Linked DNA regions of Tribolium castaneum. The protein of the gene in region 1 purifies or fractionates together with the protein of each later gene. This does not show direct contact. Links are inferred from orthologs where the notes say so. Each region holds a gene or a part of one and is shown on either strand. Other genes may lie near its edges.

What was found.
Region 2: the proteins of IleRS (region 1) and LeuRS purify together in Homo sapiens (affinity purification with mass spectrometry; 7 studies listed by BioGRID and IntAct, counting the BioPlex papers as one, with this or other methods). This does not show direct contact. The link is inferred for Tribolium castaneum from reciprocal best matches to the Homo sapiens genes IARS1 and LARS1.

Annotation. Positions count from the first base shown.
Region 1 is NC_087403.1:5,649,506-5,653,820, reverse strand, and holds the start of IleRS (isoleucine--tRNA ligase, cytoplasmic), read right to left. Parts: upstream 2,847-4,315; 5' UTR 2,729-2,846; coding exon 2,598-2,728; intron 2,552-2,597; coding exon 2,244-2,551; intron 2,198-2,243; coding exon 1,452-2,197; intron 1,407-1,451; coding exon 1-1,406. Other genes in the region: uncharacterized protein LOC662426, read right to left, coding at 3,680-4,101, 4,150-4,315. UniProt on the Homo sapiens protein: Catalyzes the specific attachment of an amino acid to its cognate tRNA in a 2 step reaction: the amino acid (AA) is first activated by ATP to form AA-AMP and then transferred to the acceptor end of the tRNA.
Region 2 is NC_087402.1:9,359,350-9,363,534, reverse strand, and holds the start of LeuRS (leucine--tRNA ligase, cytoplasmic), read right to left. Parts: upstream 2,934-4,185; 5' UTR 2,814-2,933; coding exon 2,811-2,813; intron 2,761-2,810; coding exon 2,335-2,760; intron 2,287-2,334; coding exon 1,880-2,286; intron 1,826-1,879; coding exon 1,600-1,825; intron 1-1,599. Other genes in the region: Grx5 (glutaredoxin-related protein 5, mitochondrial), read right to left, coding at 3,178-3,615. UniProt on the Homo sapiens protein: Aminoacyl-tRNA synthetase that catalyzes the specific attachment of leucine to its cognate tRNA (tRNA(Leu)).

The sequences.
Region 1 (4,315 bases):
TTCAACGAGAGGATATCAGAAATGTACTGAGGGTCCTGATGGACAATTATAACTTCCGGCAACGGGTACTTGATCGGTATTGTTTTTCGGTCGCGCAAGACTCGCCCCAATTCTATCACACTTTGCATTCTGGCAACGGCTCGCTCAATATCTTTGTTGATCAACGCATGATTCGGCTGCGGTAACATCAAATAGTGAACACTATCGGCCGAAGTCTTCATCAACTTCTTCAAATATTGGTACATGGTCTCGGCCAAGAAGGGTGAGAACGGTGCCATCATTTTCACAATGTTTAGGAGAACCTCGAACAGCGTCAGTAGGGCTGTTTTACAATCGTCGAACCCGCCCTCACCCTTGAGACGTTTCCGGTTCATCCGCACGTACCAATTGGTTAAGTAGTCAATAAACTTGGTCAGCCTGGGAATAACGTTGTACAAGTGGTAAAGTTGCATCTCCTTCCGGACGTACTCTAGGAGCGACTGAGTGAACGAAAGAATCCACTTGTCCATGATATTCTCAGGCGCGACACTATTTTCAGTGTAGTAGAACGCTTGATTGTTGTCTTGTACAAAACTCTCAATATTTTGTAACAAGAAACGGAACGCATTGTACCACGGCAGGAACACATCTTTAAGAATATCCCTAACCCCTTCCTCCTTAAACCGCAAGTTTTCGGCACGCACCACTGGCGAGTTAATCAAATAAAGCCTCAAAGCGTCCGCCCCATACTTCGAAACGATTTCCAACGGGTCCGGATAATTCTTTTTCCGCTTCGACATCTTTTGCCCATCGCTGGCCAACACAAGCCCGTTCGCGATCAAATTCTTGTACGGCGCTTTCCCGAACAAAGCCGTCGAGATGACTAAAAGCGTATAAAACCAGCCCCTGGTCTGGTCGATCCCTTCGGCGATAAAATCCGCCGGGAAATAGTCATCAAACTCTTTACTAAACTCAAACGGGTAGTGTTTCTGGGCGTAGGGCATAGAGCCCGACTCGAACCAACAATCAAAAACTTCAGGAACGCGTCTCAACGGGGGATTTCCAGGAATTTTCGAGGGAATTTCAAGATGATCGATGCTTTCCCGATGCAAATCGGTGATTTTCTGACCCGTTAGTTGCTCGAGTTCGGCGATACTGCCAACGCAGACGAACTCATTGCCGCTTGGCGACGCCCAGATCGGTATCGGGGTGCCGAAATACCGGTTGCGACTGATAGCCCAGTCCCGGGCGTCGCGCAGCCAGTTACCGAAACGCTTGTCTTTGACGAAATCGGGCACCCAGTAGGTGTCCGCACAGGCCTTTTGCAGCTCCTCGGTCATGTGTTCCACGCGGACGAACCACGACGGCACCGCTTTGTAGATCAAGGGGGTGTCGGAACGCCAACAGAAGGGGTAACTGTGCTTGATCTGAAACAACAATTAGCTAGTGCTTCCAAACGCTTTGGACATTACTTGAGTTTGGTGCACGAGCCGGCCGTTGGTTTTCAAAGCCGCGATGATTTTCTTGTCGGCGTCTTTGACATAAAGCCCTTCGAACTCCACCACAGGTTTGACGAACCGGCCGCTGGCGTCAACGGGACAGATGGGTTCCTGGTCCTTGGTTATAACCCCAGCGTTGAGACAGACGCGGAAATCGTCTTCCCCGAAGTACGGTGCCTGGTGCACGACACCCGTACCCGACTCAGACGTGACGTAGTCGTCTGTCAAGACCCGGAAAGCTTTGTCTTTCAAGTGGGCGAAGTAGGGGAAAATTGGTTCGTAGCGCAGCCCCTTCAATTCGCTTCCGGGGAATTTCCGGATTATTTTATAATCCCCAGCTGGGAAAATTGTTTCAATGCGAGTCTCTAGCATGATGTAGCGCTTGGTGGTGCTGATTTGTTCAAACAGTACGTATTCAAGCGATGGGTTTACGCACGCCGCTAGGTTACTAGGGAGGGTCCAAGGAGTCGTTGTCCAAACTAAAAGCGCAGCATTGTCCTTATGACCGATGATCGGGAGGCTCACGGTGACGGCGGGATCAACAACATCCTTGTAATTCTGACCCGACTCGAAGTTCGATAAGGGGGTATTACACGTCGTCGAGTACGGCATTACTTTATTGCCCTGATAAACTAATCCCTTTAAGTACAATTGCTTGAAAACCCACCAAACCGACTCCATGAAAGTCGGGTAAAGCGTCTTGTAGTCGTTTTTAAAATCTGGAATTATCAATCAAACGTTTGGCCTTTTCGTCCAAATGATTACCAATCCAGCGTCCAATGCGCCCAATGATCCTCTCCCACTCGTCGGCGTACCGCATGACAATCTTGCGGCACTCGGCGTTGTATTTGTCAATGCCCATCTTCATTACATCATCCGGGCCCTTAATATCAAAAGTCTTGTCAATCTCGTACTCCACGGGTAGCCCATGGCAGTCCCAGCCGAACCTCCTCTCCACGTGGAAGCCCTGCTGGTGGGCATAACGCGTGACCACGTCTTTGATGGTCCCCGCCAGAATGTGCCCATAATGGGGCAACCCGGTCGCAAACGGCGGGCCGTCATAGAACGAAAACCTACAAAATAACTAAGGCACGTTCACTCGAAACCATGCCAAGTTACCGTGGCTTTCCCTTCGACTGTTTCAAGCATGTTTGGAACACGTCGATTTCCGTCCAATATTTCAGGATTTTTTCTTCCTCGGATGGGAAATTTATGGTTTCCGGCACACGGGGAATTTCTTGAATAGGCATGGTGCGAGCTATTTCACTAATTCAATAAATTATATCACATATTATGCTCGTGCAACGACACAACCTCAATTTTTCGGATGATGAAATTCACTGCCAACTGGCTTGGGGGAAAACGAAAACACCAGGAGAAATATTTTAAATATTTCAGGAATTTTATAATAATAAGTGACAAAACAAAACTTGCTATTGTGCCATTGACTTGAATGTTTCAAAAAATTAATTCAATAAATTTTATTGATTCGTTTAAAAACAATTATTAAAAATTGTAAGCTAGGCAAGAGGCGAGTTGTTCGAATGGTCTCGTGCCACTCACAGTGCGTTACGTGCGCACCCGAAGTGGTACAGTCCCGCTTGTTCATATTTCACATTTTGTTATTTAATTAATTCGGCCTGGATTTGCATAAATATGTAGTGGAATAGAATTTACATAAAATAAACTTTTACTTTGTTTATTATCTTCATTCGTTTGAATAAACTTGAAAATGCGGGGTTTTACAAAAGAACGCACACTCTAATTTGAGCCTTTTAAATATTCCGATCCTTTCTAATTATAACTTTTATATTTTAACGCAGATTATTCAATAAATATTAGCTGCGTGATATGTAAATGGTTGTGAAATACGTGGCTGTTACGTGAATGTCCCATGAAACGAATTTTGTTCCACCCATCTAATCCCATGTTATAAAAACTGGTGCATATAAAAATCCGCCCATGTCCCTTCCATGAGCAAGCGTCGTATTTTTTCTAAATGATAGGTGTAACTGTAATAGACCATAACTCCGTTATTTGGTCTACTGATCTAGTGTTCATATCTCGATTAATAGATGGAATATTGAGCGTTTTAAGGAGAGAAAAGCAAAACAGCGTCGAAAAAACCGTTTTATTATTAACGAATTCAAACAAACAATATCTCCAAATAAATATTTATAAATTAGAAACAATATCACAGCTCATACGTCACTTTTTAAAATCGCTATATCAAAAATAACATCATTTATCGCGCCATTTATGGCCCGAGTATTAACAAGTAAACCTTTTTTTAGCCCCTTTATCTCTTGGTATGAAGTGCAGTTGAGTGAAAACACGTTATTTCTAACACTTATTATAACGTCGTGTGTTTCCCCAATTAACACCTTGACGTGCATGTCGAATTCTTTTGCAACATTTCCGTTTTCTAGAACCCAAGTCCAGAGAAGTACATTTTCGGAACTGTTCTCAATTTTGAGGAAAAACGTGTTTTGCTGAAGTTGGATAACGTAACACAAGTCTTGCTCTTCCAAAATTTTGCTAAACTCGATTGTTATTTGCGATTTGAAATAGTGTACTAACGGTCCGTCGTGGCTTAACTGGAAGTGCTCGATTACTTTTTTTCCTGTGGACATAAACTTAGCTAACTGCTTATTATTACGAAAATGCGAACCTTTAATTAGGGACGTACATCCCGGCGCGAATGGGCAATAAAAAGCGATGTCTTCACCGGCGTTGTGCAACGACTCAAAGGAGCCGTGACACGACACTGAGCGAAAATTTGGGTTGAGATAATTTTGGTTTTTCTCATTTCGGCTCATCCTGTTCACGGAGTTCGT
Region 2 (4,185 bases), on another chromosome or scaffold:
ATGCGTAAATGTCATTTGTTTCATAGCGTCCTTTAGTTCTTCTATGTTGTAAAAATAAGTGTGTTTGTGCCAAAAGGACTGAAATCAATTTCAGAAACGCTCAAAAACGAAGGAGATTAAGATCAGTTATTATTTTTTTAATTAAGTATAGTTCAGATAAGCTTCTGTTCCAAAACAAAATCTGCCGTGCTAAGCAAAAACGTCATAACTGATTTTATATGAATCTTGAGTTATGTCTTGTTTTCTACATTTTCAGAGTGCACTGTTATTTTAAATGCTAGTAACATGGAATGTTGAAGTCAACCTAACAATTTATTTGTAAAAAGGAAATATGTATGCAATTATATCCATTATTTTGCCAAATCGCTGTTATTCCACATACGACGTTAAATTTTTATTTATTTTTTTAATTAAGTAAAAGTAACTAAGTAAAAAAGTCGTAACTACAAAAATATTTATTAACGGCTTTAAACAAATGAAATAATACATAACAACAGGAAATTTATAAAAAAATGTACCCAAGAAATTACACCTAGCGTACGCTACTTTTGAAATAAAAGCAAATTTTGCCAAAAAATCAATCGGTTTTCTGGTAGAATATTTTTAAATTTTTTTAAGAGTTCCTGTTTTCTTTCTGTATCTATGCCATTTGTTGTGTGTTTTTGAGTGGGTTTTTTGAATATGATGTTATTGATGTTAGAAAATTTAACTCTATAAAGCCATTATCAAAACTGCATTTATATTTCATGGTTTTTTTTCCTCGTTCAAACGTAAGGTTAACCATGTCGCTTAGGTAAGGTCGATTAATAATTTTGATCAATTTGTACTGTGAATTGTAGTCTTGCCATCTGAAAAAGTTTTCAATTTTCATTTGTTTAATTTTAGTTCTTGTACCCGTCCTTCCAACCGAATTGACAAAATCGTCAAAGTCATACACTTTTTTTTGTTTTTTTAATTGTAATTCGACTTGGTAATCAACCAAACTTGGTACCTAATGTTTTTGATTAATTTTAGAAAATATACAATTTTTGATTCATTAATGAGTGGGTTTCATATACATTTTATAGTTACGACTTTCTTGCTAAGTAATATTGCACAAACCCCACATACGTTAATTTTATTTACGTATTTCGTCTTATTAATTTCTGGATAATATCTATTAAAGTTATTTAGAATCAAAGTTATTGCACTATTGATCTCAGATTTTGTGTTATCTCAAATTTGACAAAAAAGTCAGTTACGACGTTCTTGCTTAGCACGGCAGAAATATTCAGTTATATATGCCTAAAAGGGGGAATTTTGACTTATCTCATGTCATTTTGGGACGAAAGTAAGCGGTATTAGTGATTTTCACTTTATTTAAGTAAAGAAAAACCACCATATGTCTCGTATACTCAATGAGTGTATATTTACTCTTCAAAAAATATCTAAGAAGTGCCAATGAATTTACAAATTACAAATGGCTGACACTCACCACCAACTTTTTTCCATTTAATAATTTTTCATTTTACTTAATTTACTATTAGGATCTTAGAGAACTCACAAAAAAATTAGATTAAACCTAAACTGTAGGAAAAAATTTAAAAAATCGAAAGTTACCTGTCCCACCAAATGCGCAACAATCTCAAATTTCCCATCAACCTCCGTAAACCCTTGATAGCTCATATTCCGAGCTGAGCGCTCGGTGCAAATAAAAATTTCGCCAGATTTGACCGCAACTGCGGCATATTTCATATCAGGCCTGACCCAACAATTAGTCTGTCCGTACATTGTCTCGGGCCTTAAAGTCGCCGCTACTAGATAAACCGGTTTATTGGCGAGTTTACTGCAAATTAAAAAGCATAATAAAGCTACTCTCTATTTTTACGAGTTGTTGTACCTCAATTTCGCCGGATATGGAGGTAATAACTTCATTTTAATTAAAGTATACTCCTGGGGACCCACCCCTTCGCCGGTGGACCTATCATGGTCCATACACGGCTGGCCATCGCGAGGTGAATAAATCGTGTAACGTTTACCGAATTTAATTTTGTTGCGTTCTTTCAAACGAATGTATTGCCAACGGACGAAGGAATCGAAAAAGGGGTTCACGTCGGTGGTTATGAAGGTGCGTCTCCAGTCGACGTAAACCCCAAATCGGTCCAAGTCCTGGACGGCAAGGGGCGGGAAATAATCCAGCCAGTAATCAGCGTCCGCAAATTTTTTTATTTCCTCGTCCTGGAGCCCTAAACTGTACATAATCTGCCACTGGTATTTGGCAGCGCCCGCTTTAGCCACTGCTTTGCTCTAATTAAGAAAGTGTCAATTATTTGGCGTGAATTAGCAACGATTTACCTTTTTTCCTTTACTCTTATCTTTAATAACAACGTCATCATTCTCCTCAACTTTTATTTCTTCCTCGACTGGGAATTTAGGGGGGTACCCGAACATTTCCATCTCGCGTTTTAATTTATCAGCACATGCTTTAATCGGCATTCCGGTGCAGTGAAAACCGAAGGGAAACAACGCATTTTTCCCCTTCAGTTTGTGATACCTGACGGAAAATTCAGCCTTTGATAGAGAGAACGTATGGCCAAGGTGTAAACGGCCGTTCATGTATGGAAATGGGAAAGTGCACAAAAACTTATCATCTTCTGATTTTCGGGGCTGTTTGGGCGCGTCGATTTCGTGCAATTTCTCTTTCTTCCATCTGTCCTGAACCTCACGCTCGATTTTTTGTAGATATTCTACCTTGAACGTGCCCTTTCGCTCAACTGCAGTCTATAGAATTATCATTAAACGATTGTTAATCTACTGTGTGTTACAATTACCATTTTTAGCTTCTTTTTTTGTTTAAATTAAAAAATCACTGAACGAACACGTTGACATAACACATGGGCGAGTTAACCTCACTTTTTGCCAGGTAAAGCCATAAAAAATGATGCAATCGTCGGCACAATTGATAATTTCTACTTTATCGCGTTAATCAGAATTTATGCTAGACGTTGTAAAAACTGCATGAACTTAATTAAATAGGGAAAAAACGTTAAGGGTGTTGATTTGAGGTTATGTAATGAATTATCAATTTTTTCTAAATAGCTTTTTTATTAATGAACAGAACTACACAAAAACGAATTAAATAACATTCTAATTATTATATACAGCAATCAGTCCCTAGATTCGTGTCTTCCACTTAATTTAAGATTTCTTTTCTGCATCTTCCTTTTCCTTCGCCAACAAAAGCGCACTTTTGATGCCAACCTTCTCCAACTCCTCGATCAGATCCCCCGACTGGTGCATTTGCAGCATTATATCACAGCCTCCCACAAATTCGCCGTTGATAAAAACCTGTGGTATTGTGGGCCAATTTGAAAAATCCTTAATCCCCTGCCGTAGCGACTCATCAGACAGGACATCATGGGCGTCATACTGCACCCCATGCATTCGTAAAATTTGCACAACCGCATTGCTAAAGCCACACCGGGGCTGTTCGGGAACCCCCTTCATAAAAACCACAACTTTGTTATTGTTGACCATTTTTTTAATTTCTTCGGCCGGTTTTGTGCTATAAAACCTGGCGAGAGTGGTCGCATTTTGTAACAGGTTTCTACTCTTTGTGAAAAAATTTAAACTCATTTTTTGTTTGAATTTGTATAACCTCACTTTTAGACAGATCGGGGGTGGAAACTAGAGATTTTCGTTCCGTGTTGGCAACCTTGTTAATTGCTTGACAAGAAACAGGTTGACAGGAATGAGCCGCAAAATTAATAAATTATTGTTTTTTGCCAATATTTCAAACAGCAATTCAGGTATCTCAAGTTTTTTTCTAACTAATTGGCGTTCTCTACCAGTGTTGGTTTTTCTTTGTTTCAAAAACAACGTTTTTTATGGTTTTAGCGTCCACAGAATAGATTTATTGGAATAAGTTGAGGTAAGACTATGCTAATTGTTCGTTTTTTGTAACATAAATGCTTTGAAACGTATTCTATCACGTTTTTATTTGTACTCCATTCAAACATGACACGATTTTTTATCATTGTTTTTTCTTATTTACTTTGCGTTTTGTTTACACTAAAACCGCGTTTTTAAACTATTTGATATCGAACTAATTGCTACAAAAGTGCAAACTTGCAGTGTTTTCGAAATAATTCTTTAAGGTAGGTTGATGTTAGTAGTTTTCTTGAAGTACCGTACTCTCAAATATCC